4 linked regions of the Arabidopsis thaliana genome follow. The protein of the gene in region 4 purifies or fractionates together with the protein of the main gene of each other region. This does not show direct contact. Each region holds a gene or a part of one and is shown on either strand. Other genes may lie near its edges.

The links.
Region 1: the proteins of NRPD1A (region 4) and NRPB9B purify together in Arabidopsis thaliana (affinity purification with mass spectrometry, with the first as the bait; one study listed by BioGRID). This does not show direct contact.
Region 2: the proteins of NRPD1A (region 4) and NRPB8B purify together in Arabidopsis thaliana (affinity purification with mass spectrometry; 2 studies listed by BioGRID, with this or other methods). This does not show direct contact.
Region 3: the proteins of NRPD1A (region 4) and NRPB3 purify together in Arabidopsis thaliana (affinity purification with mass spectrometry; 2 studies listed by BioGRID, with this or other methods). This does not show direct contact.

What each region holds. Positions count from the first base shown.
Region 1 is NC_003075.7:9,200,563-9,207,649, reverse strand, and holds NRPB9B (RNA polymerases M/15 Kd subunit), read left to right. Parts: upstream 1-3,834; 5' UTR 3,835-3,888; coding exon 3,889-4,050; intron 4,051-4,703; coding exon 4,704-4,862; intron 4,863-5,040; coding exon 5,041-5,121; 3' UTR 5,122-5,298; downstream 5,299-7,087. Other genes in the region: flowering time control protein FCA, read left to right, coding at 28-60, 244-309, 442-486; AT4G16270 (peroxidase superfamily protein), read right to left, coding at 1,167-1,570, 1,649-1,814, 1,895-2,086, 2,286-2,570; AT4G16260 (Glycosyl hydrolase superfamily protein), read left to right, coding at 6,209-6,266, 6,376-6,859, 6,978-7,087. UniProt on the Arabidopsis thaliana protein: DNA-dependent RNA polymerase catalyzes the transcription of DNA into RNA using the four ribonucleoside triphosphates as substrates. Component of RNA polymerase II which synthesizes mRNA precursors and many functional non-coding RNAs.
Region 2 is NC_003074.8:22,013,111-22,020,789, forward strand, and holds NRPB8B (RNA polymerase Rpb8), read left to right. Parts: upstream 1-3,265; 5' UTR 3,266-3,405; intron 3,406-3,518; coding exon 3,519-3,597; intron 3,598-3,823; coding exon 3,824-3,981; intron 3,982-4,494; coding exon 4,495-4,586; intron 4,587-4,701; coding exon 4,702-4,813; 3' UTR 4,814-5,251; downstream 5,252-7,679. Other genes in the region: AT3G59590 (jacalin lectin family protein), read left to right, coding at 1,057-1,083, 1,148-1,840, 1,920-2,285, 2,380-2,658; AT3G59610 (F-box family protein / jacalin lectin family protein), read left to right, coding at 6,443-7,679. UniProt on the Arabidopsis thaliana protein: DNA-dependent RNA polymerase catalyzes the transcription of DNA into RNA using the four ribonucleoside triphosphates as substrates. Component of RNA polymerase II which synthesizes mRNA precursors and many functional non-coding RNAs.
Region 3 is NC_003071.7:6,731,717-6,739,688, forward strand, and holds NRPB3 (DNA-directed RNA polymerase family protein), read left to right. Parts: upstream 1-1,817; 5' UTR 1,818-1,944; coding exon 1,945-2,393; intron 2,394-2,647; coding exon 2,648-2,885; coding exon of another isoform or gene 2,886-2,930; exon of another isoform or gene 2,931-3,040; coding exon of another isoform or gene 3,041-3,088; exon of another isoform or gene 3,089-3,493; coding exon 3,494-3,766; 3' UTR 3,767-4,103; downstream 4,104-7,972. UniProt on the Arabidopsis thaliana protein: DNA-dependent RNA polymerase catalyzes the transcription of DNA into RNA using the four ribonucleoside triphosphates as substrates. Component of RNA polymerase II which synthesizes mRNA precursors and many functional non-coding RNAs.
Region 4 is NC_003070.9:23,358,258-23,366,350, reverse strand, and holds the start of NRPD1A (nuclear RNA polymerase D1A), read left to right. Parts: upstream 1-3,863; 5' UTR 3,864-3,914; exon of another isoform or gene 3,915-4,047; intron 4,048-4,158; 5' UTR 4,159-4,203; intron 4,204-5,211; 5' UTR 5,212-5,224; coding exon 5,225-5,308; intron 5,309-5,391; coding exon 5,392-5,512; intron 5,513-5,609; coding exon 5,610-5,731; intron 5,732-5,811; coding exon 5,812-5,850; intron 5,851-5,937; coding exon 5,938-6,156; intron 6,157-6,232; coding exon 6,233-6,385; intron 6,386-6,473; coding exon 6,474-6,569; intron 6,570-6,619; exon of another isoform or gene 6,620-6,649; coding exon 6,650-8,093. UniProt on the Arabidopsis thaliana protein: DNA-dependent RNA polymerase catalyzes the transcription of DNA into RNA using the four ribonucleoside triphosphates as substrates. Largest and catalytic component of RNA polymerase IV which mediates 24-nt short-interfering RNAs (siRNA) accumulation.

The sequences.
Region 1 (7,087 bases), on a different chromosome or scaffold from region 4:
TCTTTTTTTCTTTTCTGGAAAATGCAGTTTCCTATGTCAGGAATTGGTCAGAATGCTCAGGTATATATCTCATTTTGTATTAACAATTTCCCATACCTTCTGTACCTTTGAATTTAATCACAGAACATAATGAGTTCTTGGATTTAATGTCATTTTAAAAAGAAACATCAGTGATATGACTTCCTTCCTTGGTTAAAAATGGTTTAGGCAGAGCTTATTTTCTATTCTGTTTGGATTGTCTAGGATTATGCTCGGACACATATACCCGTGGGAGCTGCTTCAATGAATGATATATCAAGAACTCAACAGGTAGTTATGGTTTTTATCAGTGATTCAGAACTTCTCTCTGTTCATAATTCGTCCTTTGGTATTCAGATGTTCTTTTTCGTTGAAACCGTTTTTTTCCTTAATTCTCTTTACAATCATATCTCTTTTTCCCAGAGCCGTCAATCTCCCCAAGAACTCATGTGGAAGAATAAAGCTTGAGGTTCATATCTACCCTTTCTCTCCTCTCTCTTGTATTTTCTCCATACCGAAACACATTCCAATGTATGTGGTTTCTTTAGTTGAAGTTACCTCTGTGTTGATCGATACTCTACTTCAGGTACATGAGACGAGGAGCTAAACTATCTCAGTAGCTAGATAGAAATTTCTGGAACTAATTAGTCAAGGAGAGGAAAAGCAGCAATGGTAGTGTCCTTAGTCTCTGATTTTTTTAGTTAACCCCTTCAGTTATAATAGATAGGCGATCGTAGACCATCTGCATTCTATCTTTTCTCTAATCAGATATCTCCTCCTTTTTCATTTTAAGAGCTGCCAAACAATGGCCTGTTGTAACATAGCTAGCGCAAGTTATGTCTCATGTTGTGTTACTAGTAGTAACTTAGCTGGGTAAACCAAACTTTGATCCAGATTAGGAGTCATATATAATTATATAAATAGAATATGTACATTCATAGATAGCTCATCACTTATAATGAGACTAGATCTTAGCAAAATCCAACTCTAATTGTCATTTTCAGAGATCTATCAATTTGTAGTTTCCTGATCTTCATATATGTGTTCGCTCTTCTAATGATTACGTAAAATCAGAGTCCTACGTAGGTGGACTTCTTTAATTTTTATATAGATAATTAGATATCATTCAATAAGTCGGGCTTTTATTTTTAGTTAATCATTCTACAATTCTTCCTAATCTCGCTATTACTACCACCGGGTATCCCTCCCATTTTAACCATAGCGTTCTTAAAATCCTCAAAGAAAACCGACTGATCTGTTGCGTAGGTCTCAACAATCGCCCTTGTCCCTGGGTCTTGAACCGCTAAAGCCTGGTCTGATGGAAGCAATCCCTCACCCGAGAGGAGGTTTACATAGTACTGGTTGTCAAATGTTGATGGAGTCACCAAGTCAAGCTGAGTGATACCTACACTGGGCCCAACAGTCGAGCATAACTGTTGCAGTGACTCGAGGAACTCAAGGTTGTCTCCGTGGTTAGCTGGTTGTCCAGTTTGCAGTGGCTGCAACCGAGCTGTAAACGAAGTGCACCGTGCCTTTCCCAATGTATGTCCACCTGGTTTCCATATGTGTAAGTATCAATAACTTGGGTTGGTCTAGAGAAAGATAAAGAAGAGTACAAGAGAATGTATACCGGAAAGAGCGACCATGTCGGTTTGTGAAAGGCCAAGATTCTGGAAAGTAGAGATGAGAGTTGATACGGTTGAGTTTGGTGAGGGTAAGCCATTTGTTGCTGCCTGTTTGCTTGCTGTTCTACTGTCTTTTCTTCCTACTTCCACCTCCCACCTTGGTCCACCCGACTTCAAAAACCCGATTTAAAAATGTTAAACATAGACGATTTGAATTGAGTTCATCAACTTTATAATATGATGATAACTACCACAACGACTGAATCTCTAGCAGCCATGGCAAGAATGTCTGCGCATGAGACGGTCTCTGGACATACAGATTCAATATCAGACTTTATCGAATCAATCACTTCGAACCCTCGTAGAGAATTTAGATTAGGAGGCGCCGTTTTTTCACCAACCAGTCCTTCTGTGTCATCTAACAACACCGAAGCATCACATCCCTGCAATGCATAATGCAAGTCAAAAACAAAAACACATTCTGGTTCGTAGTACTCATTCCCTACTTAACCGGTACAATTTAGATTTGTCACGGTTTAACTAACATAATATAATCCTTCCCGGTTCAATGGTATATAAAAGACGGGGATTAGATGATAGACCAAAACTATTAAAACAAACTTAAGATGAGATGTGACTTGCATTGACAAAACAGTCGTGGAAATGAAGACGGAGAAGAGAAGCAGCCATTCTTGGATCCTCTAACACCGTGGTTTCCACCCACGAGTAGACGATAGACTCTGCTTCGGGGCAGCTATTCCGGTATAAACCAAAATCAAGAACCAAATCGAACCCTATGCCAAAGCTTGAACCGGTTTCTCCACTCCCGTCTTCGCAACTCTCGCTGAAATTGGTTGGATTCTCGGAGAGTGAAAGAATTGGCATTGCAAAGAAAAACATAAGGAACAAGTTAAAGAGATTCTTCATTGTCGTTATATGATCACTCCACTTTCTTCTGAGTTTTAACATTCAATGGAGTTGGTACTATATTAGAAAGCTAGTGTATGTGTGTCCATATTTATAGAAACAATTCAACTATATACACATACATAACACGTATATATGTATGTGTGACTGCATGACTGCATGTGCACTTCAACAACCCAATTACATATTATGTACTCGTCAAATTAATCATACGTACGTCAATAAATGTATGTATATATAAAAGAAGTAGATTGGCAAATATTCAAGTAAAATTGCAATGTTAGTATACCAAATGATTAACAAATTCTCATAATACAATTTATGATCAGCATGTATAATTGTGTGTTTTTTGTTGTTTTTTATGCATGAATTATTATTTGAGCAAAACAAAACGTTTTGGACTAAACTATATACGTGATAAGGGATAAGATTGCATAAGGTGGCTGGCTAATGGCTATTATTAGTAAGTTGTAATAAAAAGGAACAAAAGAGTAGTAATGATATTGTAATGAATGAAGAGGAAACACACAAATAAACCATGTTGTTACTATTGCTAGTGCTAGTGCAAGTGCTAGAGAGATGTGTCGGTATACACTATAGAGTCAGGAGTAGTTAAAAGACAGACCAATTCAGCAGTTGGAATCTGACAGAAGTTAGTAGTATATAATGTGCTTAATTTCTTTCATATTTTTAATAGAACAGAACTTATATAATGAATATCGAATAATTTTCACAATGATATAAAGGTGCATGGGGATATGCATGTGGTTGTTAATGTAAGAAAAAGTACACTAGTCTTCAATGAAGAAAGGGTCAAATTTATTTCGTATTGTCCTCTTCGTATTTCTTTATTTGTATTTTTTTCTACCCCACAAGTTAAATTCTGATATGGGCCGGCCCATGGGCTTTACGCATTTATTGTCTAAATGCCCGAGAAAGTTCATGAAATTACATCCGATTGCCACTACGCAGTCTTTAGTCTTTACTAGAGCTTGACCTCTTCTCTCTCATGTCCGAGTGAACAAATCCCGCCAAAGATACGAAGAGACTGATTGTGAAATCAAAGAAGCATTCAAAAGCTCGTTATCTAAAGATTCTGCGAAGATGAGTACTATGAAATTTTGTCGCGAATGGTAAATACGAATCTCTTCGTTTTTTTTATTTTGGGGGTCAAAACGAATCTGTTCTCTGCTCTTTTATACTAGTCTTCTGAAATTGAAATTTGGGTTTTCATTTCTTAGCTCATATTGAATTATATATTGTACCCAGTTCTCTTAAGTCTCTAATTGTCGGAATTTTAGTTTTGGATGGTTTGCTTATGTTTTCTATTGGATTAAAGCTCCAACTTTTCTCCACTTTTGCAGCTTATGAACCTTTGATTTTGTTTTTTTTTGAAATGTTCAGTAATAACATTCTATATCCCAAGGAAGACAAGGAGCAATCAATCCTCCTCTATGCGTGCCGTAATTGTGATCACCAGGTAAACTTTGTTTACTATGCTTTCTTTTATAAAATTAGGTTTCCTTAGTGTTAATGGAACAATGTGGTGTTGAAACAAAGCTAGGGCTGAAACCAATAGACTTTAGTTGTTCACTTGTATATGATTTGTGTTGATATTTATTTAAGCTCTGATGTTTTACTCTTTGTAATCGCTTATACGGTTAAAGGTCGAATGTCTGAACTTGAAGTAAACCAAGGAATGATAATTTAATGAGTTTAGATCATTTTCCTTGTCTCTCATATCATGAATCTGATTGGTTAAGATAGTAGTGCTTATCAGTATAAAGAGTTCTTTGAGAACTTCTGAACAAACGCAAGACCTTTTAAAAACCGTTTAGAGGGTTTCTGCAACTTAACTTCTAAAACCATTTGAGTTTCAACAATATCCATTGGTGTTACCGAATCTGAGTTTTTTTTTGTTTCTACTGTTTGTGTTATGTTTTGTTATTACAAAGCATTATGCCTTTGTTAGCTACTGAAAACCATTCTAGATGAATCTCTGTATGGGATCTTTAGCTTAATGCCCGGACTTGCTAACCGAATTAGTTATAAACTTACTGAGTTACTGTTAGCTATTTATCGTCCTGTTGATAGAAGGTCTTGAAATTTATATTCTTTTATTTGGCTTTGCAGGAAGCAGCAGATAACAATTGTGTTTACAGAAACGAGGTTCATCACTCTGTAAGTGAACAAACTCAGATCCTATCTGACGTTGCTTCCGACCCAACTCTTCCACGTACCAAGGCTGTGCGATGCGCCAAGTGTCAACACGGTGAAGCTGTCTTCTTCCAGGTGAATCATTATCTTATATCTTAATCTTTAATTCGTCATCAATCAAGGAGTAAAGAAACATTCTTTCGTTTTTCTCTGATCTAACTTAAAGATCAAAAGAGATTTCTTTCTCTTGCTTTTTAATGTGCTTATGGCTATTTCGGTTTGATATAGCTCGTGTGTGTCATCGAATTTTCAGGCCACGGCTAGAGGCGAAGAAGGAATGACTCTGTTTTTCGTTTGCTGCAACCCGAACTGTAGTCACCGTTGGAGAGAATAGATTGATAGAAGACTACATTTTTCAAATGTAACGTGTATTTGTGTTCCGCTTTATGAGTTTTATACAATTCAATTTGGAGTTTTCTGTGTAAAAATATGAATACTATGAGACTGTTCTCGGGTTTCTTGAATTGTTTCAGGGTCTTTTATGATCATTTTGGTTTTTATGTGGGTCTAATTATAAATTTGTCGTTTTATGCGGGGCCGATCTGAAAATTCGTCCATAAACCATGATAGTGTTGAAAATTTGTATACGTGGAGTCTAGCCGCCGGCTGCTATAACTTTGCTATAACGTGTGATATTATAAAAAGTTGATAAATCTAATCTTCTAAACCAAATTGTTTTAATAATGCTGTGTTTACTTCGTCATCGTATCGAATTATACGGCTGCTCTTGTTAAGTGATGACAATATCTTCAAATAAAGTTTTTTCTTTTGTAAGCAAATATGATAAAACTACGTTAGCTAATAGCCAACTTGGTCCATCATAGTTCATAAAGTCAAAAAATCAGTAACCAATTCATGAGTGGAATTATACTTGATTCAATGACACTGTTTAGGAGCTTATCTAAATTGCACAAGTTTTGTTACACGTAAAACACAAATATGCCAAATTAGACATGTTTCTCGTCATTCTAAAACATTAACAAATATTTACATAGACGCAGTCAAATAAATCAAATTTCGTATGATAAAAAAAAAACAAAAAAAATAGCAAGGTTGATTTGTCAATGCTGGCAAAAATAAGCAATGTCCTAATTTCTCAAGTTGGAAAGTGACATTTCTCTACCCATTTTTTGAAAAGATATTCTCTTTTGCATATAAGATTTGATAAATTGAACGCATATTTGCACTCAAGCTAACGTTATGTACTTGATTACTTGACCCGACTAATGACTTATTGACTTTGATTAATAAACAAAGATATTAGCCACTCCATTCTACATTATATACAATCTATACGCATCTATATATATCTACTAAAAAAATTGTAAGTACATACATATCAATGTTAATTTGTATATAAGGAGCTAAGAACAAACCCAATTAGGCAACTAGCAATTGCTAAAACACGTAAGATCTCAAATATGACCACGTTATTCCTCCTTATTGCTCTATTCATCACAACCATCCTCAACCCAACAAGTCTCTCTCTCTCTCTCTTTAATCTCACATGATTTATTCTCATTTTCAATTTTTATAGATATATAAACTTAATCATAATTAACCTTAATTATGTTATATGATAAACTAGGTGGAGAATCAGTAGGTGTATGCTATGGAATGATGGGGAACAACCTTCCTTCTCAATCAGACACAATCGCTCTCTTTAGACAAAACAACATCCGACGTGTTAGACTCTACGATCCAAACCAAGCCGCTTTAAACGCTCTTAGAAACACGGGTATCGAAGTCATCATCGGCGTTCCAAACACCGATCTTCGTTCACTCACTAACCCTTCTTCCGCTAGATCATGGCTCCAAAACAACGTCCTCAACTATTACCCCGCCGTTAGCTTCAAGTACATCGCCGTAGGTAACGAAGTATCTCCGTCGAACGGCGGTGATGTTGTGCTCCCTGCCATGCGTAACGTTTACGATGCTCTAAGAGGTGCAAATCTTCAAGATCGTATTAAAGTTTCTACCGCCATTGATATGACTTTGATTGGAAACTCTTTCCCTCCTTCCTCCGGAGAGTTTCGTGGTGACGTTAGATGGTATATCGATCCCGTCATCGGGTAATTTTCCAACCAAACCAAATAACCAAAATTCATTAGATTTAGTTATTTCCCAATATTTTTCATTTCTGGTTACTTGTGGAATGATTATTTAATTTCTTCCTATGTGGCTAATTAGGTTTCTTACGAGTACGAACTCAGCGTTACTAGCCAACATCTATCCTTACTTCAGCTACGTTGACAATCCACGTGACATATCTCTCTCTTACGCTCTCTTCACTTCTCCTT
Region 2 (7,679 bases), on a different chromosome or scaffold from region 4:
ATTTTATAACTTTTGGTATAATTATTCATTTTGGATCTAAATAAGTTTATTTACGTACATCCGATCTAAAATAGTTTATTGATAAAGCTTTCTAATTAACTCATATTTTTTTTATTTTTTTTGTCGAAAGTGAATTTTATTGATTAAGAGTGACAAAAGTCATGATACAATTGTTCAAGAATCCAACTAGGGGGACAAACATTATCAGAGTAATAGTTACAATGGAGACAACCCTGTTTAGCAAGTAAATGAGCTACCCTATTACACTTTCGTTGAGTGTATGAAAAACTGATGTTTTGGAATCTAATTAACTCATATATATTCTTTTTTTTTAAACACCCATTTTTTTTTACCATAAATCAATTGTTCCAATATTTTCTTTCTATTCAATTTTTACATCTACAGTAATTATTGTATTATGAGGGGGTGATTTAGTTATCTATTTTGAATGATTTGAGTTTTTTTGTGAGTTATAGATGATTTTGGGTAAATATAGTAAAATTGATAACTTATGAATTTTCCTAATAACCTAGAACACTTTTTTTTTTTTTTGAATACCTAGAACACTTTAAAATCATTAAAGACCAATCTTGGAAAAAAAAAATCAATAAAAGTGGATTTGAATATACTCTTTCAAATTCATTAGTTCAATAGCATTGGATTTAGCAATTCTTATTATAACCAATAACACTAGATTTTTTATTAAAAAAATAATCTATGATAGGATAACATATGAATTATCATCCAAAACAAATTAATTTATTGCTTGCCAAAAAAAAAAGGTATATTAATATTGTTACTTTTTCATTTTATTCCACCTATTGTTGTTATTATTTTGTTATATCTTTATGTAATAGTAGTATACTAACGTAAGCTATAAAATTCTAATAGAAAATTCATCTATATATATATATTCTTATGGGGGTGTAATTGTGTAAACTCGTCCGTAACAGATAACATAATGCAACTAGAACAACTTCCGTGGGAATTGGAGGAAAGAATACTCACTTTGATTCCAACAAAGTGTCTCGCTCTATTCAGATCTGTTTGCAAACGATGGAACTCTCTTTCAAACGAGAGAAGGTTTATCAATAATCATTTGGCTCGTGCCCATCCACAATAATTCATCTTGATTGCCAGATCCAAGATTTGCTCGGTGGAAGTTAATCTTGATGTTCCATCCATAGAGGTGCATAGCCATAACTTACCCTCATATATTCCCGGTTATAATGGTTTCTTCATGACGGTCGAATATTGCGACGGGTTAGTGGTTTATGCTACCGAGAACGGGATTGGGATATGCAACCCATTGTTGAGACAGATTAGATGGATCAAATCCAAAGTGAATTATCGTTACAATGGGGTGGGATACGACAATTCTAGACCCGAAAATCATTACAAGATCTTTGAGTCTTGCCCCTATAGCGATACAACCGTGAAAGCTAGTATCACCGAGTTTGTATCCGATGCATGGATTTCGAAACCGTACGAGTTTGCATATGATTGGGATTTTATGTCGTCCTATAGTGTATCATTGAATGGAGCTTTGTATTGGGTTGCTTTCCATATGGCGTCTGATGACCAGTTTATTCAAAGCTTTGATTTTTCTACGGAGAAATTTGAACCCTATTGTCTCTTGCCTAATAAAAAATGTGATCCAAGCAATGCTAGGTCCCTTGCAGTTTTTAGGGGAGATCGATTTTCGTATTTAGAGCAAAACTATGAGACAAGGAATATAGAGATTTGGGTAACAAAAAAAGAGATTAAAATTGAGAATGGAAAGGCTGTGGAGTGGATGAACTTGATGAAAGTGTCAGTTCCTAAATGGTCGAGTTTAAGAGTAATAAGCTATGATCCGCCAAGTTACTTCATCGACGATAAAACCCTCAGTCTCGCATTTGTGTTGTTTGAACAAGAAGGAAAAGGCTTGCATTTATATTGCCAAGGGAGATAAGTTCCATGAAATTATAATAAACGATTTGGTTGAGTATCCTACTCGTCATCACCGTACCTATGTTCCTAGTTTGGTCCCAGTTCCAACGTTCACGATGAGCAATAGAAGTAAAACGCAGCAGGTTGAGTCCCGCTTCACACCCCCTAGAGGAATACAAGCGAGCGATGGAGGAAACGAGTGGGACGACGGCATCTTCCACAATGTGAAGAAAATAAATGTAGGAGTAAATGATTTTGACACGGTCTTTGTCAAGTTTCACTACTCCAAATATAACCGGATTGAAGCCGGAGCAGGTCATGGAAATGCGACAACACATAATCCAGACGACGAAGTACGTGACGTGATGAGATTTCTTACTTCTTAATTTATTAGTTTCTAACTTATATATAGTTTTATCATACATATCATATGGATTTCTTGCATAGATTATGATCGCTGGAGGCGACTACATTGAAGCCGTCGAGGGGACCTACACTGAAAGCCATATCACCTCCATTACATTTCGGATGCGCAAGGGAGACATGATGCCACAGTACGGACGCTTGAACGGGACGCCCTTCTCGCTTCGAGGAGAACGAGGCTCCAAGGCCATCGGGTTTTACGGAAGAAGCTCTGGTGTCCACCTCACTGCTCTCGGCGTCCACTTCTCTCCACCCCCTCTATATTATTCGTTTCCTAACCATTCACCAGTTTTTAATTATTAATAATCATGCCAATAAAAAGTAATAATTCTTTTTTGGATATGAATATGATCGTTTTTCTTGAACATGCACGATTGAGTAAAATGGGAATATTACTGGCCGTGTTTTTTATTGGGTTCGCAAAAGCCTAATAAAAAAAGTTGGACTTATGAGTAAAATGGGAAATAGGGTTTTCCAATCCTTCTTTCTGAAACCCTAAACCGACAAGGCAAGCAAACAACAACGCTGCTATACAAATCCATCTATAAACTCTTTTTTTTCTTTTCGACCGTGTCCATTAAAAATATATGATGCAACCAGAGAACCAGCCGTGGGAATTGGAGGAAGAGATACTTTCTCACCTTCCAACAATTTTTCTCGCTCGATTGAAATCAGTTTGCAAACCAACTAGTGTTTAACTATTGCTCATACTCAGCAAACCATGCACCTACTCCAATATTTCAAACTTCTGATCTCTCCTTTAATGCAACATATGTAATAAACAACAAAATATACATGGAATGTCTCGGAAAAACACAAATCTATAGGGTATTTTCTGTAATAAGTAAAAATATAAGGAAAATATGTAAATAAACCAAACTACAAGGAATATATGTAATAATATGAAAAAGTAAAAAACAAAAAATCCTTTCTCTCTCGCTTCTCTTCTTCTCTGCCCCTCCTTAACACTCTTCTCGCCGCCGTTCCTCTCTCTGCCTCTTGAGCCTCCGGAGCTGGTGAAAAAAATCGTCTTTTCTATCTCCTTTGAAGGTAATTCAGCTTTTCGATTTCTCCAGATGCTCATATAGTTGTTTTATGCCAGTCGAATCGGATTATTTTCATGAAATTAAGAGTGTTTAGGGTTTGAATCTCCGTGTTTGTAGATGGCGAGCAATATTATCATGTTCGAGGATATCTTCGTGGTCGATAAGCTAGACCCTGATGGCAAAAAGTTCGATAAAGGTATCTACTTTTTTTTTTAACCTCAGTCACGATTTGTAATGCTTGTCATGGCTTAAATCGAGTTTCTGATATGAATCCTAGTTTCTTGTGTTTGTTTTAAGTTTTAGATAAATTGGAATCCAAGTTAGTGTGAAAAAGATCTCAACTTTTAAAATTTTAAGCCTCCTAAAGTTTGTTTGTTCTGACTTCAAATTGATTGCGTCTCTGTGTGTTTGTGGTAACACAGTTACGCGTGTTGAAGCAAGGAGCCACAACTTGGAAATGTTTATGCATTTAGATGTTAACACTGAGGTTTATCCATTGGCTGTTGGTGATAAGTTCACGCTGGCTATGGCTCCCACGCTTAATCTCGATGGAACTCCTGATACCGGATACTTTACTCCGGTACTGCATGCTTTTTCTATGTTAGATTTTTGGTGTATATTGCATACTCTTTTTTACTTGCTTGGATAAATCTCATGAATGGTTACAGTAAGTTAGGCCAGTTAACTTTTCTTAAGGTTTTGGTTGGGGCATACCATTAAGTGCTAATTGCTCGATATGACTAATTCCACTGGCTTGATTCAGGAGATAGGAATAAGACTAATCATATGAAAACTTGAGCAATACTTAGTCTCTTGAATATTGAATTAAAACCTATCTTTGAAAACCAAGACTGTTTTCTTTGATAATTTGAACATTCATTTAGTTTCCATGTCGCTCTATTACAAGAACATGTATTAGGATTTGATCTAATTGCTTAATAGAACAATTGCTTTGGCTTGATTCAGGAAGCCTATCTAGGAATAAGAGTAAACATGTGGAATTTGAGCAAGACTTAGTGTCTTGACTCTTGAATCATGAAACCAAGATTGTTGTTAGCTAATCTAATCTAGTTTCCATCTCGCTTTGTTACAGGGAGCAAAGAAAACACTTGCAGATAAGTATGAATACATCATGCACGGGAAGCTTTACAAGATCTCTGAGCGTGACGGCAAAACTCCAAAAGCGTAAGAATCCCATATACCTAGACCAACAAAATCATTTTTTCCCAAAGAGATCCAATTTAACTTACAGATCTAACCATCATGCTTCGGTTTCTATCTTGCAATTATGTGTTTGCAGAGAGTTATATGTTTCGTTCGGGGGGCTCCTGATGTTGCTTCAGGGAGATCCAGCTCATATTTCTCACTTCGAACTTGACCAGAGGCTCTTTCTACTCATGAGGAAGCTTTGAGATGCCATTGTCTAATCACTTTCCGAGAATATTCGCATAAAAACCGAATTAACAGAGAGCTTTCTTATAAAAGCTTTATCTTATGTTAAACTTTGCTATTATAAATACTATTTTCATGAAGCAACTCTTGTACATCCAATATTTAACTGTCCAATTGAATTATGCTTGTAGCTCAGAGCTGTTGATGAATGATGATAACCACTTGAGGCCAATAAGTTATAAAACAAACAGAGACAAAAAAATTGTTTCTTTTCTAACAACACTCTCACATGTGTTTAGTAATATTCTCTCTTTGAACAATAACACTAAGCCAATAAAACAAAAAAGTCAGTTTCTGGCGTAGCAGGAATTTTTCTTTGTGATAGTGAAGTTTTTGGAGTTGTTGTTACTCATGCTTGTATCCAGACGCCTTCCCACTTCTCCCAACTGTATGAGGCTCATGCGTATTATCGCTGTTTACCTCCAAACCATGATAAGCATGGCTGAGGAAATACTCGGATCCTGATTTTGCAGCTGTTTGATTTAGTGAGTGAGTTATGATTATTGCCTCTCAACTGCAATGCTTTCTCTGCAGCTTATACTAATGCCATTGGCTCTCATGTGTCCGTCTTCTTCTCCATTCTTTGCTTGATCTGCATCAAGTAGATTGTCAAACTCATGGAATCAAAAATGGCTTTGGTTGACTTAACAATGTATCAAGCTTTCTATGATACCGTTTGTTTTGTGATCTTCTAGGTAACCACCCTGAAAGAAGAAGATCCGTGGCTCCTCTGATCCGCTATATATGTGCTTCTGAAAAGTGGTTAGCAATTTGTGAATTGTGATCACTTGCGGCATTTAGGTTCATATTGGGTGTACGATTTTGGATTATAAAGAAAATCATCAAAACGTTCGTAGAACACAATTCACAAATTTATTGATTTAAACTAGAACGATACACGTAACTGATTCTTCTTTTTGCATGTCCAAAATTATCATCAAGACCGGACTAATCATCATAGGATACATGTGAAAGTTGCAGCCTCTTACATTTTCTCCGTAACTATTTTGCTGTCCTGCTTTTATCCCTACATTTTCTGAGAGAAAGTCTTCTGTCAGTGCTAGATTTCATACTTATTCCATGACTAAAGTTACTTTACTTCATTTCATAATCAAATAATATACTTTCTATTTAAATTATTATATAATTTGTTGACAAAAAAAATATAGGTATCTAAGAAGTAAAAAGTATATTTTTCATATATATTAAATTAAATTAAACATGTTCTAAAAAGGGATAATATTTTTTATTTATTTATCTAACTTTTGGTATAATTATTTATTTTCTGATACAAATCTACTCACTCACATCCAGATTATATGTATTTTCTCTTTCTAATTGCCTCATATCTACAGTCATTCATTTTTTTATAGGTTTTCTTTCCTAATTACAATCATTTATGGACAAAAGTTAAAAAAATAAAAATAAAATTTTCTTTTCTCTTCATTTTCCCATCTATTAATATATATAGTTATTATATTCTTCATGTAGTAATAGTAGCAGTATCTGTAAGCATTGAATTTCTGTTATACACATCCATCTATATATTATCTTGTTCTGATATATTATCATAAAGCTAAAAAAAAGGTATGATGCAACCAGATCATGACCTGCCGTATGATTTGGAGGGAGAGATACTCTCTCACCTTCCAATACAAATTCTCGCTCGATTTAGATGTGTTTGCAAGAGATGGAACACTCTTTTCAAGGAAAGGAGGTTCTTCAACAGTGATTTGGGTCTCGCCCGTCCACAATTCATCTTGCTTGCCGAATCCAAGATTTGCTCGGTGGACGTTAATCTTGACGGCCCATCTATAGAGGTGCATAACTTGCCCTCAGATATTCCCGGTTATAAACTTTATATGCCCATGCACGTCGAATATTGCGACGGGTTATTTCTTTATGCAACCTGTTATGGGATTGGGATTTGCAACCCATGGCTGAGACAGATTAGATGGTTCAAATCCAGTTATGAAGGTTATGATTTCAGTGGGATGGGATACGACAATAGTAGACAGGACAAGCACTACAAGATCTTAGGGTCTTACTGTACAAATACAACCATGAATGCTAGTGTCACCGAGTTGGGATCCGATGCATGGAAATCTTACGAATTTGCATTCCATAGTTGGAATTTATCTATGTCGCCTTATAGTGTTTCATTGAATGGAAATTTGTATTGGGTTGCTTATAATCATGAGTCTCGTGATTATTTTATTCAAAGCTTCGACTTTTCTACGGTGAGCTTCAAACACTATTGTATCTTGCCTACTAAAAACGGGCATCGTCAATGCGATGGTAGATCACTTGCGATATTTAGGGAAGATCGATTTTCGTTTTTAGAGCAAGAGATCTATAACACAAGGAATATAGAGATTTGGGTGACAAAAGAAACTATTAAAAATGGGGATGGAGAAGCTGTAGAGTGGGTGAATTTGATGAGTGTGTTAGTTCCCGAATGGTCGAGTTTAAGTGTCAACTATTACCCGCCAAGTTACTTCGTCGATGAAGATAAAGTTGGTTTGACTCTTGTAATATGTTGTTATAACAAGGAGGGAAAAGCTTATATTTATATTGCCAAGGGAGATAAGTTCCATGAAATTGAAATAAAAGATTTGGTTGAGTATAATCCTCGTCACCGTACCTATTTTCCCAATTTGATCCAAGTTCCTACGTTTACGATGAGCGGTAGGAGTATAACCCAACATCAGGTTGAATCTCGCTTCGCACCCCTCAGGGGAATACAAGTGAGCGTTGGAGTTGGAGGAGACGAGTGGGACGATGGTTTCTTCGACAATGTAAAGGAAATAATTATACATACAAATT
Region 3 (7,972 bases), on a different chromosome or scaffold from region 4:
TATATATATATATATATAAACAGTTGTTACAATCCCAATCATCATAAAATCTGTAGAGTCCTCTTCCAATCTTAACATCGTAGACAACGTTTGGATTTCTGCAAGTGGAGTGGGTACTTATTACTCTCCAGGTATTCCTGTCCTGCATGAAGTTGTTGTCAACTGTATAGAGTCCGTCTTCCTTAATAAGTATAGTGAAAGAGCTTGTTTCAAGGAACAGTAAATGGTTGTTGTCATAAAGCGTTGTCCACTCAGCAGCATTAAGCCAACTTTGGGTTGATGCTTTAAGTACATGTGCGACATCTGGCAAATATAGCATCAAAATATATTAGATTTGTAGATATATAAATAACTATCTTAGTTTTGCTACAATGTCTTCTTCAATTAGAATTTTCCAAGCATCAGTTCTATCACAAACCTTCTCCTAGATCTCCCTAGAATCCAGATCTGCTACATTCTTAGATTTTTAAATCTTGCCTAAGTGTTACAAATTCCATAGATCTTGCATTCCCTAAATCTTGATGTTCTAAAATTTCTAAATACAATGCCTCGATTTCCCAAATTCGCCACAGTATCTCGATGATCTCCTTCAAAACTAAAAGAGTTTTTAACTAACCAAATACTCAAATACTCCTAATTTGTATTCTTAACCCTTTAACCATAGCCTAAACAATACCCAATTTTTAAAATAATAAATAAACACTTACATTGTTTTTATTGCTTTCTTTGTAAACTATGAATTTTTTTTTGTATATATATATAATTTTATATAGATTTCACTATACATATGAAGAAAATTAATCAGACACATATTATTAGTTGCACTCTCATTTTCTTGGAAGTAGGAAAAATGATATAACTTGTTTAATTGTACAAACATTACCCAATTTTTTTTATTTTATTTTTGTCGTATTGTTTTGGCCGAACCATTTTCTTCTTTTATAAAATGGGAATTTTTGCATTCTATTTTCGTAGACAAAGAGTAAATTAATCATTTGTGAGAGATAATAATAAACTTTGGATGTTCTTGTCTAGTAGCTTAAAATAAAATTGAGTATTTTTGGTTTAGATAAATGTATAAATGGTGTCTAATGTATTCTTACCATTGGATGTTTGACAAATTACACATTTCTCCATTTTCTTTAGAGTAATCAAAGGGATAAGCATTGTAAGAGTTTATAACGATGGTCCTTGTGATGATCTAAATAATGCATTAGGCAGTGCTTGTTGATTAAAGAATGATGAAATCCTTTAACACTCACATGTTAAAATATTTGTTAACATCTTGTCCTTAATATTGTTAAAGAAACTTAACTAAACTTGTTAACATTTTGATTATGGGTGTCAAAATGGGTCAAAATTTATGGGTCAACTCAATTCAACTCAACCCATGAACTCTAATGAGTTCAAAATTTTGACTCAAATGAGTTGATGGGTCAAATGAGTTGATGAGTCAATTGGTTTGATGAGTAAAATTAGTTGGGTTGTAATGGTTAATGGTACTATGAGATCATTTCAAATTTTTTGATACATGGTGTTTTCCTCCCAAATATATGACTATAATATCACTAAATACTATGAGATCTCGTAGAGTTGTTGAGTACGATAAAAGAATCTATGAAAAAAGAACTTAAATAAAGAGGTATACGTTTGACAAAAAAAAAAAGAAAAAAGAAAAAGGAAAAGGTATAAAAAAAAACATTTGAGTTGGGCTTATATGGGCCTGTTTGAAATTTGGTGACATTACTTTTCGCCAAAAGAATTAAAAAGGCCCATATAGGCCCAACTTTAAACATTACTCTAATATTTATATCTTTCTCACTTTTGCTTTATTCTGATTTCTTCTCCTATCTCCTTCTCCGGCGAAGAAATTGAAAATTCATTATCCCTAAAACCCTAATAAAGGTCCAGAGAGTCGTCAGAAACCACCGATTAGCTTTTGAAATGGACGGTGCCACATACCAAAGATTCCCAAAGATCAAGATCCGTGAGCTTAAAGATGATTACGCCAAGTTCGAGCTTCGTGAAACCGACGTTTCTATGGCCAACGCTCTCCGTCGCGTAATGATCTCCGAAGTCCCTACCGTCGCAATAGATCTAGTCGAAATCGAGGTTAATTCATCTGTACTCAACGACGAGTTCATTGCTCATCGATTAGGTCTCATTCCTCTCACTAGCGAACGTGCTATGAGCATGCGTTTCTCTCGAGATTGTGATGCTTGTGATGGAGATGGACAATGCGAGTTTTGCTCTGTTGAGTTTCGGCTTAGTTCTAAGTGTGTTACTGATCAAACCCTAGATGTTACTAGTAGGGATTTGTACAGTGCTGATCCTACTGTTACTCCTGTGGATTTCACTATTGACTCGTCTGTATCTGATTCAAGCGAGCACAAGTAAGTCCCTTTTCATCATTAGATTGTTAAATGCAGAAATGTGGTGTTTCTTTTGTCATTATGAATCGATTGGAGTTGTGAAACGTTAGAGATTAAGCAATGGTGAAACAAAATTTGCATCTTTTAGCATTCCGAGGATGAAAAATACTTCCTTTCGATGGCCCTTTGCATGACTCTTCTTGTTCGTGATTGTTTGATGTTTAATTATGGTGGTTGTGTGGGTTAAAGACTCTGTTTTTGGTTTCGGGTTTCAGGGGAATTATCATTGTGAAACTGCGTCGGGGACAAGAGTTGAAGCTTAGAGCGATAGCGAGGAAAGGGATTGGGAAAGATCATGCGAAATGGTCTCCTGCAGCTACTGTTACGTTTATGTATGAGCCTGACATAATTATTAATGAAGATATGATGGATACTTTGTCAGACGAGGAAAAGATCGACTTGATTGAGAGCAGTCCTACCAAAGTGTTTGGCATGGATCCAGTCACCAGACAGGTTAGTTTTCACGTTTTGGAAGAATGCAGCTATACAAGTTTATAGCTTTGAGACTTAAATATGATTGAACTACTTTATAGACTGCCATGCCTTGAAATATATATATGTGATGTGGTTAGTGCATTTGCTCTTTTCTGTGCTTCTCTTTCTGTTAGATAGCACTACTTAGCTCTTTAGGAGAATTACGCCAGTCATCGGAATGAATCAAATAACTGCTAAACTTCTGGTACCAAACTGAAACATCTTTCTATATCTAATCACTGCAAATTATATGAATCACTTGGAGTATCTCTGTGCCAGTTGAACTTTTGTTTGTGATTTCATGTTAGAGATTTCAAATTATTCGAATGGTAAAGGGAATAAAGAAAGGAGAAGATATAGTACTTGTAGTACCTCTGTACCAGTTGAATTTTCTTGGAGATTTCATGTTAATGGTTCAGTGTTTACTAGGACTCACCACAACTGACAATTTTCCTTTGACCCGCTAGAGAACATTGTATATCATTATAACAGTTACAGTAGTTTATCGTTGGAATTTAGTATGCCATTTCTTTTGAAGTCTGTTGCTTGAATCATCACAACTGTAATTTTTATACTTTGCTTCTTAGGTTGTAGTGGTTGATCCTGAAGCATACACTTACGATGAAGAAGTGATCAAGAAAGCTGAAGCAATGGGGAAACCGGGACTCATTGAGATCAGTCCGAAAGATGACAGTTTTATATTCACTGTTGAGTCCACAGGTGCAGTGAAGGCTTCCCAACTGGTACTAAATGCCATTGATCTTCTGAAGCAGAAGCTTGATGCAGTCCGTCTCTCAGATGACACCGTAGAAGCGGATGATCAGTTTGGTGAACTCGGTGCCCATATGCGTGGAGGATGAACTCAAGTGATTAATTCGAGCTCTTTGTTATACCTGTTTGTTTCAGGTTTTGAGTTTCTTCTGGAGCAGACTGATATTAACCGTAGTGGCACTGTCTTGTTTGATAACATGTGAAGTGGCAGTCTTCTATTTGTTCTGGACCTCTGATCCCTCTGTTCCTGAATCTTGTTAAGTTTGGTTGTTGTTAGTTGTTAGACTCGCTCGTAACGAAAATAAACGCAAGGATTAAATTCAATACATTGAACAAGTATGATTAAAATGGAACAAGTATGTAGTTTAATCTTAAAATTCGTACCATTAACTGAAATGGAATGAAAGACTTTTGCATAGTGGATACCCAATTTAAAGCTCTTAAGTTCTTGAACTTCGATCACACAATAAGTTATGGTGAGTAGCTTCCCTTGGAATGAAACAAGAGACAAAAACTCAAAAGTTTTCGAGCTAATTCATAGGTCCGAAATGATGTCATGGATCTTAGATAAGAGAATTCCGGCATTGATTACTTGGACTAATTATTAACAATCAGATTCAATCAGTAAATCTCTCAATTCTGCTTCCAAAGTGGCAGTGATGACCGCTCGTATCGCTAGTCCTTACGCCATGAGAGGGGATGCCACATTTTCACGCATTGCTGAGTGGTGAGTCGAAAGTCCAGTGGTCAAATAGGTCCAGCCACAATTTTATTTTTTAAAATTATAGGCCACCACATTTTCGTAAGAAAGTAAGTATATCTATTTAGTTGGATCAATTATGGGATCGGCACATTAAAGTTTGTGCTTTTGTGGAGATAGAAAAATTTCACAGTATTCACAAATTGAGGTACTTTTACCTAATGTCGTTTTACAGTTTCATTTTTTACAACTTTGTAAAAAAAAATTTCATTTTGTTTCTTTTTTCTTGTTCCACTATTGCAGCATCGTCTACAACATATCCCATTAATAATTTTAAATCAAACGCAATAGGAGAGATACACGTCTCCGATTAATATGCATTCGTTTCTTGGATTGGCTTTCTCTCCGTAATCAGCTCAAATTCATTGGAGAGCCGGTGAATTTTGTCGCCGTCTCTTTCTTACACGACCTCCGTGTAAACAACAATTCTCCCCGCTCACTCTTCAATTCAATTTTATCGGAGCTCAAGATTGGAGCCCTTGGGTTCCATAGATACTATCTTCTTATGGTATACATTTCTTCTATGAGAGCTTGTTTAATGGAAACCATCAACATGATTAAAAGATTTGAAGTTTCTGGAAAAAATAAAGAGAAGAAGTAAAACGATGAAGAAGAAGAAGCAAGGAGAAGAAGTCAAACATAAGGGCAAAACAGTCAATTTGCGTATATAAAAGTTCCTTTTTTACAAACAACGTGAAAGTATCCATTTTCAAATATTTTTCAGAAAAAGTACCTATATCAACAATAACCCACTATTTAGTTAGTTTGATATAAATATTTTTTTAATTAAAAATGCGTTTTTCATTATCTAGAAGAGATTTTCTTATCTTGAAAACATATTCTTTAGTAATATATAATAAGTAAAAAAAACAAATATTAAAAACAGATAATATTATTAGAAAAACATATGAAAACAAAGAAAAAACTTATTTTGATTTTCTTTTACATTAAGCATGCACATAGTTGATACTCTATGAGTATCATTAACAATTTTTTAGTATTAATTTTAATATTTATTTATTGTTTGAGATTTTTTATGATACTGGTAATAAATTTGTTTCCAATGGTGAGACCGATATTGGTATCATTAAAAAAATAAATTATTTGGAAAATCAAAAAATAAATATATAAAAACTTAGGATTATAAAATTACTGCAAAATTATATCGCATAATCACGAAGAGCCTGCAAAATTACTCACTCGCAGAAAATATAACTAGTTAGCTAAAACAATAGAAAGACTATCGGAGAGAATAATAGAATTTTTTTTTTCCAGAAAAAACCAGTTTCACAGACGAATCATGAGCCTCCACATCACCCGATACTGGGTATCAAAAGAATCATTACACTGATACGGTATTAGGCCTAAATGTCTTGTCTGATTTATTAAAAACTTATTTATGGCTCTTGATACTCTAAATGTATCACCTATGTACATGGTCTTAGTTTTTGTTACTAATATTTTGTTTCGAATTTTGAGTATTATTTTTGAAATATTACCATATAGCCAATTTTTAAAAACATGTCCTAGACCAAGACTAGTCTAAGCACGGCACTAGTCCAACCTAAACTTGCTGCTTTGATATCATTCTCCAGGATGCATCAGTTTACATTTGATATCATACTCCGGAAAGAGAAGAAGATCAAACCTTCCTGCCAGTCCAGAAGAAGGATTGATCTGCGACTTTCCGACTTGAGGTTCTTGTCACTCTTTGGCCTTCTTAACCATTTAATCATGTATTTTTTAAATGACTTGAGTTATAAAGAAGCTTTTAGATAATTTTGGGCAAATTGAGAAAAGTTTCGTGATGGTGTGAAATCTCCTTCTAGTCCACATGAAACAATGAGATTTAGATCTTTGTATGTCACTAAGAAAATCTACTAAATTAAACCATCTAAAGTCTTTCCAAAATCATTCTTTCTATAACACTAGACTTTAGAAGAATTTTTTAAATTTTATGATTTAATAACAAAAAAATTATCATTTTAACACAATCCGTTTCAAATGCTTTGATTAAATAAACCCGCACAATTTTTTTAAAAAACCATTACCAATATTTTTTCGGGATTTAAAATATAAAGAAGGGTAACAATGCAATTAAGATGTTCCAACTATCACATTAAACTCATCACTTGCAACGAGTTATTCCCTTCCATAGTTTCTTAGAGAAAAGTGGGATTAATTACGAGATCGGTACATTAAAGTGTACGCCTTTATGGATATAGGAACATCTCACTGTACTTACAAATTTAGGTACTTCTACGTTATATGATGATTGTTTTACCCTTCAATTTAATTGAGTTTCATCTCCTTGTAGTACCTCTCTCTCTCTCTCTCTCTCTCTCTCTCTCTCTCTCTCTCTCTCTCTCTCTCTCTCTCTCTCTCTCTCTCTCGGCATAGAATCTACTGCCTCTAAACTCGCCATTGATGTCCATTACTTCTCCATCGCCTTACAAAGTTCAGATCTATGGACTATGATTGGCCAATCTTCTTCCTCGACGATGAAGGTGGTAATTCTCCATAGCTTCTTTGAATTTGAATTGCTGGATCTGAATCATAATTCCATCATCTCTCGCTTTATTTTAAAAGAGGAATAAGAAACAATTGAAATTTTTAATTGATTCTAATTATATAAGATTAGAATCTTTGGGTTCCCTATATAGTTTCCCCTTAGGGTTTAGCTTTCTCCCATCAAAAAGCTTTTAACTGATTTTATTGGGTTTATTGGAATTGTATGGTGATAAAGATGTTGAGTTCGTCGGAGAAGATGGAGTGAAAATTTAGGGGCAATATCGTCTTTTCATTTGCCAAAAACTGCCTAACCTCATAAGCCTAATCATAATGTGCTCTTTAAAAATTTATGGCCCAAAATGTACCCAATATTATAAAGGGTTTATTGGCAAAGTAGACACTTTTTCAAAAATAATTTGTAAAGTAGGTAATTTTTTTTAAAATTAGAGAGATAGACACTTTTTTTGTTTTTTGTGAGATAGAGAATTTGTCTAATAGACTAAAAGACAAAATACATATCAAATACTAAAATACCCTTTATCTTGAGAGTAAATAAAAATTATATGAGAAACCATTTTTACTTTATTTTGTTTGTCTTTATCTTTTTATTTTTTTTTATTTTAGTTTTCTTAAATATTAAAAAATATATATTCTTTTTAAAAAAAAATTACATTGACTTTTAGAGTATTTATCTATCATCATTATAATGCACAAACATTTAAAACATCGTTTTGTACACTAACCATTATTCGTTGGTGTACAAGTGTGTACACCGATATTTCATAAATCATCACCGACTTCTCTTATACTTATTAATATAAGTAATATTGTTTTTAATATTTTACAAACATAATGATTGTATAAACCAAATATTATTATTCAATATAATGGTGTACATGATGGTGTACATAATTAAGTTACTCTTAATGGTGTACAAAATGATTGAAATTATTATGACGATTGGTGGATAGAATGATATATACAACTTTTAAATGATAACATACAAGATTGGTAGACAAAGTGT
Region 4 (8,093 bases):
TTAATCTTCGACAACAAAAAAAAAAACTTTAATCTCTTTTTTGCTTTCTTATTAAGATTTCATATATGTAAAGACAGTATATGACAATGTAAGTTTTCTGCCTTCACGCAACCACGTTGCGAGTAACCAACTTAAAAGACAAAATATTTGAAGGGAAATGCCCTTAATTAAGTGGACTAGATATGAACTAATCGAAATTAATCCGATACTCTTCAAGTTTCCCTCGTATATAAAATCAAATACATTTGTACTTTTCTTATTTTGGTAGGGTCAAATACATTGTTACTAATACTATAGTATTTGTTTTCTTTCAAGTAATGACGATGTGTAATACTAATACTATATTTAAAACTTTTTAATAAGTGAAAACAACTTCTTTGATTATTCATTTTTCATCGGCGGACAAATTATTAAAGCGAAGTTCCTTGTCTCGTGCGGCTATTTGGCAAACTCGTTAAAGCAATCCTTTTAGTTTTATGTATCGCAGAAGTAGGACCATGCATGAAGTTAACTTTTATTGCCAATGGCACGACCCGGTTGCCTATTTTACATGAGAGGATTGGCTAAAAGTTACAACGATATTTCAAAAAAATTAACTGACACAAACATTTTTCTATCTCCCTAATGTATAGCAGTACTCTGCATTCTGCAAAACTCGTTAATGTAGATTTCTTACTGGAGATATTCGATCCATATCTGCAAATTCAAGTTGTTTCCATTTTTAAATTGTGACATAGTCTATGTATAAACACATTACAAAAATGATGTCCTTATCTATGTGAATATAAAAATGCCATGCATATATATAGTCAGAGAGAGTGGTATTTGATAGGGATTAGGGAACAATACCATACGATGAGTCAGAAACAGATACATACATCATTATTTTAATAGTGCAACCAGAATCTTAATCTCATTATTACAAGTTGTGATAAAAAGAAAAAAATATTGAAACTAAAAAAAAGGTACTTCCTACAACATCAGAACATGAGATTCTAGTGGAAAATTATAGGTCGCTTTACAAAAAGCGGACCCTTGGTTTTTTTTTTTTTTGTTTTACTTCCACAATTTTCGAAGTATAAATTTACTTACTTTTCAATCTTGGTTTAAATTTTGTTTCGTAGTTAATACAAGTACTGTTTGTCTTTCTTTCATGAATCAGTGTAAACGGTAAATGATTCAAAAATGCTTGAAATTCGGTATTGATTAACGCACCTTAGAAGTTGACAAATTAGGCAAAAAAATAAAGGAATCAAAGAATAATAATACAACGAATAATGAATACCAATTGTCGATTCATGTTGATGGGTTGATCAGGTTCCAATGCAAAAAGGAAAGAAAGCAGCGTAGAAATTACGCATCTTAATTTGTATTGTGACTTTTCTCAAGTAAGATATGAATGAAATCAAGATTGAATTTGTCTAAATCTTTTCCGATTCTAATGTTTACGATTGTTAGTCTTCTAAGTTAACCACTTTGAAAGAAAATTAGTGTTGAAGTTAAATTTTTTGGTAATGTATGAATGTATGATCCCGTTTGGTGAAGTGATATGTTTGAAACAAAATTTAGATATGAAAGCAAAGATTTCTTGTATTACAAACGGTTACATTACTTGTTGAGAACTAGAGTTTTTACTTTGTAGCTTTCATGATGATGTGTTATATTGTAGTTGCCGTGTTACAATTAACAAATCCAGACTCGTGCATGAATTGTAGTAAATGAAAAAAAATGATTATCAAAAACGTCCAATAGCTTAATTATTTTTAACGTAAACCAAACGTTTTAATGCATGCAACTTTAAATGCGAACAAAGAAACGTATAATTTTGAGTTAAGAATAATATATTGCACACAAAATGATGAGTTTACAGTTGTACCCCTCTTTGACTGCTGTCGTCACACTTCGACCTTTGTACGATTCTTTGAAGACTTCAGGAGAAAGCTGTAAATGAGAGATCACGAATCAACACAAACCTTATTTTCAAATTGTTAACTTAACATATAGTAGTAATGAATTAATCGACGAAATTTTTATTCTAAACATGCTTGGATTTGAAAAGCAACTGTTAATTTTTGTTCAATCATAGGTGAAGAAAATTTATTATATCCTTATTTTTAGTAGTCTAGTGTCTAGTCAGGTGATGTGAGCCTACATAATGGGTCATCAAGTTGTCAAACTCAATAATAGTTTTTCTCACAATTTTATTTATTTATTTCTGGCATTATAAATAGTTTTATTAACTAGACTACCCCAAATGTTTACAGTTTATAAGGTTAATAAGAAAATTTACTGGGACATTTTTAAGTCTAGTTTATTCTACTACATGTTTTTCAAAACAAATACTCATTTTGTTTTAATTTAATTATCATTTTAGCACTTAAATTTAATCTCACAATAATTATCGTTTTTAGTTTTTTAATGCAAATGTTTAATAAAAATGTGAGTATTAATGTCTTGACCAATAATTTTTTTAGAAACTATATTGAACAAGGGTAAAGTAGAAAATTTAATTGTTTTTTTTTATTTTCACTGCAAAAAATCTTAAACGACAAATAATTTTAAACAAAACTATTTTAATAACTAACCACTAAACTAACTATATAACTGTTTTACAAACGAAAGCGTGAACTTCACGTAAACAAAAATTCAATTTCACGCCGCCGACAAAAAACCTTAAACGACAACTAATTTTAAATAGAAGGAGTATATTTTAGTAATAATTATATGTTAAACTGTTTTAATAAATAACCACTAAACTAACTATGTAACTGTTTTACAAACGAAAGCGTGAACTTCACGTAAACAAGAATCTAATTTCACGTCGCCGACAAGAAAAACTGATTTCACTTATATATCTTGATTTATTAATGGACATTCACATACTCTCAAATAAGATTCTAGATCTTATAAATTTTAATCTATTTTTGTCTCAATTAATTTAGTTATTTATCACATTTCGCCTCTTATAAAATTATATGATAATTGTCTAAGCAGCTAACTAATTGTAATTGTTTTTCAAACAAAAAATATATTTTAATTACACATAATTTTTTTATCGAACAAAAATATATTTTAACGAAATATAAATGTTTCGAATCAAAGATAACAAATTTATAGCCTCAACTATACGTAAAACAAAATTTTATTTTACATATCATACTTTGATTGATACTAACACAAACTTCACAAATAAATTCGTATAATTATGTAATTTTAGATTATTTAGAGATTATAACTAGTATTTAGAAAAATCGCAAAATCATATAAGAAAAGAAATGGAATTTGTTTTTGGTTCAAATTATATTTTTTTTTCCCGCTATTCATATTATAGTTATGAACCAAAAATCAAGCTAGAAATAAAAACCACTAGGATTTTTTTTTTTTGCTAAGATGAAAATTTAGTTATACACTTATTTTTATTTATTTAAATATTACATTAAACTAATAAAAAGTATTAATTATTCTAATAACTTTTTGTCAGTTTTAAAATTAGGCCAAAAGTAAAAAACTAATACAGCTAATATAATATACTTAAGGAAGGATATTTCAACTTTTTCTTTTCTTCCCAGTTTCAGAGTTTATACAAATAAGGTAAAATTCGCAGAAACAGAAAATCATAAAGTAATTAAAATAATACAACCGAGGAAGTAAAAAGATTTCCAAAAGGTAAAAGGTGTACTCGTAAAGTAGGTAAATAGAGGTACAGGTCAAGGGGTAGTTTCGGTATTTACACTCTTTCTTCTTCTTTTTTTTTTTTTTTTGGTGTCTCACATTCCAAAGTCCCCATTGGACTTAGAGAAGAGTTTTTTTTTCGTTTTCTCTGCTTTCTCACTTTTTCCCGTTTCCTTTGGGAATACAAACGGCGGCTTCTCAAAAGCCTCCGATTTCGATTTTTTTTTCCTCTCTTTTTTTTTGTTCTTTCTTTAGAGTCTCTTCTTCAACTTCTTCTCCGGCATCTTCCGTCGGAGCTAAGGATCAGAAGTTTTTGTCTGTGCACTGTTTCAATTGGATCATTACATAGTGAGGATTCTCTGTTCGACGAAACGAGTAAGTAACTACATTGTTGTTCTTCCTCAATTCTCTTCTGGTTTTTCTTTCGTTTTTTTTTTTAAAACCTTTTTCGGTAATTTTCTTTTTATCTCTTTGAAACAATTTGAGTTCTTTTTTTTTTTGATTGATCACTGTGTCTGATTCCTTATCACGGTTCTTTTGTTTAAATTTGATCGATCGTTGTCTTTGAACTCCGATTTTGTTTCTATGAACTTTGTTTACTTTGGATGATTGTGAAAAGTTAAGTACTTTGGTTTATGCATGTTCTTATGAGAAATCGATTTCTTTCGTTTAGAGATCATCTTAAGGCGGCGAATGTTTTTGCACTAAGGGTTTGTGTGAGTCCTTTAGAAGAACATTTGGAAAATTTGTCCTTTTTTTTTTTTGGTCAGTGAATTTTTTTTTTTTTAATCCATGAATAGTGTATGTTCAAAGATTGAACCTTTTTGTGTGTATGTTCTGCAGTTTTTTTTCTTTCTTCTTTTTCTGAACATGTATTCTCTTATTTTTTTGGGTTCATGCTAGATTCTATTAGTAAATTCAATTTCGAATCTATAACTTGTTTTTGATAGGCCAGTCACAGAGGAAGATTGTGGTAACACTTTTGTCCCTTAACAAAAGTGTCTGTTTCTCTTTGGTCAATTTTTTGATCAGAGAGAGTTTGCTTTGGTTTTTGTGTTCTGGTCAATGAAATGCTAAAGATTGGTTTTTGTTTCATATTCTGCTGCACATTAGATTTGATGATAGAGGGTACAGATAGAAACTGATCTTTTCGACGATTTATCCGTGAGTTTTAGCTCTGTTTTATGTTACAGAAGTAAGTGTTAATTTTCAATAATGTGTGTTCAAAGTTTGAACTATTTTGTGTGTTCGTCAAATATTTTTGAGCTAGAATCTTCTTCCCTGAACATGTTCTCTCTTTTCTTTGGATATATGCTAGATTCTAAGTGGCCACTCACAGAGATAGTTTGTGAAGTTGTCTGTTTCTCAGTGGTTAGTATTGGTCAGAGCGAGTTTTTTGGTTTTGTCTGTCTAAATGCTAAATATTGGTTTTGTTTCATATTCTGCACATTGGAATTGGTCACTAAAACTTGCTTATAAAAACTGATGTTTTTACTTACGTATCTAAATTTTCCTTACTGATGGTTTTTTTTCTTGTAGGAAACTCTTCAACATGGAAGACGATTGTGAGGAGCTTCAGGTTCCCGTGGGAACTCTAACCTCGATAGGTTTTAGCATTTCAAACAACAATGATCGAGTAAGTGTTGTCCTTATTTATTCTTCTTGATTTGTTTATGAGTAGATGGAGCAAATATTTAATGTAATGGTACTTTATTATAGGATAAAATGTCTGTGCTAGAGGTTGAAGCACCGAATCAGGTGACTGATTCTCGGCTAGGATTACCGAATCCGGATTCTGTCTGCAGAACCTGTGGCAGCAAAGATCGAAAAGTTTGCGAAGGTATCATAAAGAATCTGGTTTTGGCAAATATTGTTCCAATCTTTTAGCTCATTTTATGATTAGTTCCCTGAGTTTGCTACTTTTCTCTCTGTTTTAGGGCATTTCGGGGTTATAAACTTCGCGTACTCGATAATAAACCCGTATTTCCTCAAGGAGGTAGCTGCGTTGTTAAACAAAATCTGTCCGGGGTGTAAATACATTCGAAAAAAGCAGTTTCAGGTTCACTAGTCTTTCCAAATCCTTTGTTGGTTTGTGTGTTTTGGAACTACATATACTAATGTCATTTTTGCTTGATATAGATTACCGAAGACCAGCCTGAGAGATGTAGATACTGCACTGTAAGAATATATGATTGCAACTAATTTTCTCAGTTTAAAACTTTGTTCCAACACTAATTTTCGGTTTTTGTTGTTGTTATATATCAGTTGAATACCGGTTATCCTCTAATGAAGTTTAGGGTAACTACTAAAGAAGTCTTCAGGCGATCCGGAATCGTTGTTGAAGTAAACGAAGAGAGTCTGATGAAACTCAAGAAACGGGGAGTGTTAACATTGCCTCCTGACTATTGGAGTTTTTTGCCGCAAGACTCTAATATCGACGAGAGCTGTTTGAAACCAACAAGGCGAATAATAACGCATGCACAGGTATAGAAGAGTGAAATGTACCATCTCCATGACTTCTTACTATATATAGTTTTCTGAAAATTTCACCTTTTTGCAGGTTTATGCTCTGTTATTAGGGATTGATCAGAGGCTCATCAAGAAGGATATCCCTATGTTCAACTCTCTTGGTCTGACATCTTTTCCTGTTACACCAAATGGTTACCGTGTAACCGAAATAGTTCATCAGTTCAACGGAGCTCGGCTAATATTTGTAAGCTAAAAACGCTTGTTTATATAATTTGTTATCATATACTATGGTATTTCTCTTATCTTTTCGAGTTTCTGTCACATTTTTGAAGGATGAACGGACTCGGATCTACAAGAAACTAGTCGGCTTTGAGGGAAACACACTTGAATTGAGTTCTCGTGTGATGGAATGCATGCAATATTCCAGAGTAAGTTAGTGGTTCCTGATAGATTTAAACTCTTCTTTCTGTTCTGTGAAGGTTAGTAGTATTTCTTGTTTTTTGCACAGCTCTTTTCGGAAACTGTGTCTTCGAGTAAAGATTCCGCAAATCCGTACCAGAAGAAGTCTGATACACCAAAACTTTGCGGTCTAAGGTTCATGAAAGACGTGCTGCTCGGTAAAAGAAGTGATCATACATTCCGGACAGTAGTTGTTGGTGATCCGTCCTTGAAGCTCAACGAGATTGGCATACCCGAGAGTATCGCAAAAAGGCTTCAAGTATCAGAGCATCTCAACCAGTGCAATAAAGAAAGGCTTGTCACTTCCTTTGTCCCCACACTGTTGGACAATAAAGAGATGCATGTGAGAAGAGGAGATAGATTGGTGGCTATTCAAGTCAATGACCTCCAAACCGGAGACAAAATATTCCGGAGTTTAATGGATGGAGACACTGTGCTGATGAACAGACCGCCTTCGATTCATCAGCATTCGCTTATTGCAATGACAGTTAGAATCCTCCCAACGACTTCTGTTGTCTCCTTGAACCCGATCTGCTGTTTGCCGTTCCGTGGTGATTTTGATGGAGATTGTCTCCACGGTTACGTTCCTCAGTCCATTCAAGCAAAGGTCGAGCTTGATGAGCTTGTTGCTTTGGATAAGCAGCTTATCAACAGACAGAATGGTCGGAACTTGCTTTCTTTAGGACAAGATAGCTTGACGGCGGCTTATCTGGTCAATGTTGAGAAGAACTGTTATCTTAATCGAGCTCAGATGCAGCAGCTTCAAATGTATTGCCCATTTCAGCTTCCTCCGCCTGCAATTATCAAAGCTTCTCCTTCGAGCACTGAGCCTCAATGGACGGGAATGCAGCTATTCGGAATGCTGTTTCCTCCCGGGTTTGACTACACTTATCCTCTGAATAATGTAGTTGTGAGTAACGGCGAGCTTTTGTCTTTCTCTGAAGGATCTGCTTGGCTCAGAGATGGAGAAGGGAATTTCATCGAGAGATTGCTCAAACACGACAAAGGGAAAGTTCTTGATATCATCTATTCCGCTCAAGAAATGCTATCTCAGTGGTTGCTGATGCGCGGTTTGAGTGTGTCCTTGGCGGATTTGTACCTTTCCTCTGATCTGCAGTCTCGAAAAAACTTGACTGAAGAGATATCATACGGGTTGCGGGAAGCTGAGCAAGTTTGCAACAAGCAACAGCTAATGGTTGAATCTTGGAGAGATTTCCTTGCAGTTAATGGGGAGGATAAGGAAGAGGATTCAGTATCGGATTTGGCCCGATTCTGCTATGAGAGACAAAAATCCGCTACATTAAGCGAACTTGCAGTCAGTGCTTTTAAGGATGCTTACAGAGATGTTCAGGCACTAGCATATAGGTATGGTGATCAATCCAACTCTTTTTTGATCATGTCGAAAGCCGGCAGCAAAGGGAATATCGGGAAGCTGGTTCAGCACAGCATGTGTATCGGTCTGCAGAATTCAGCAGTTTCTTTGTCCTTTGGGT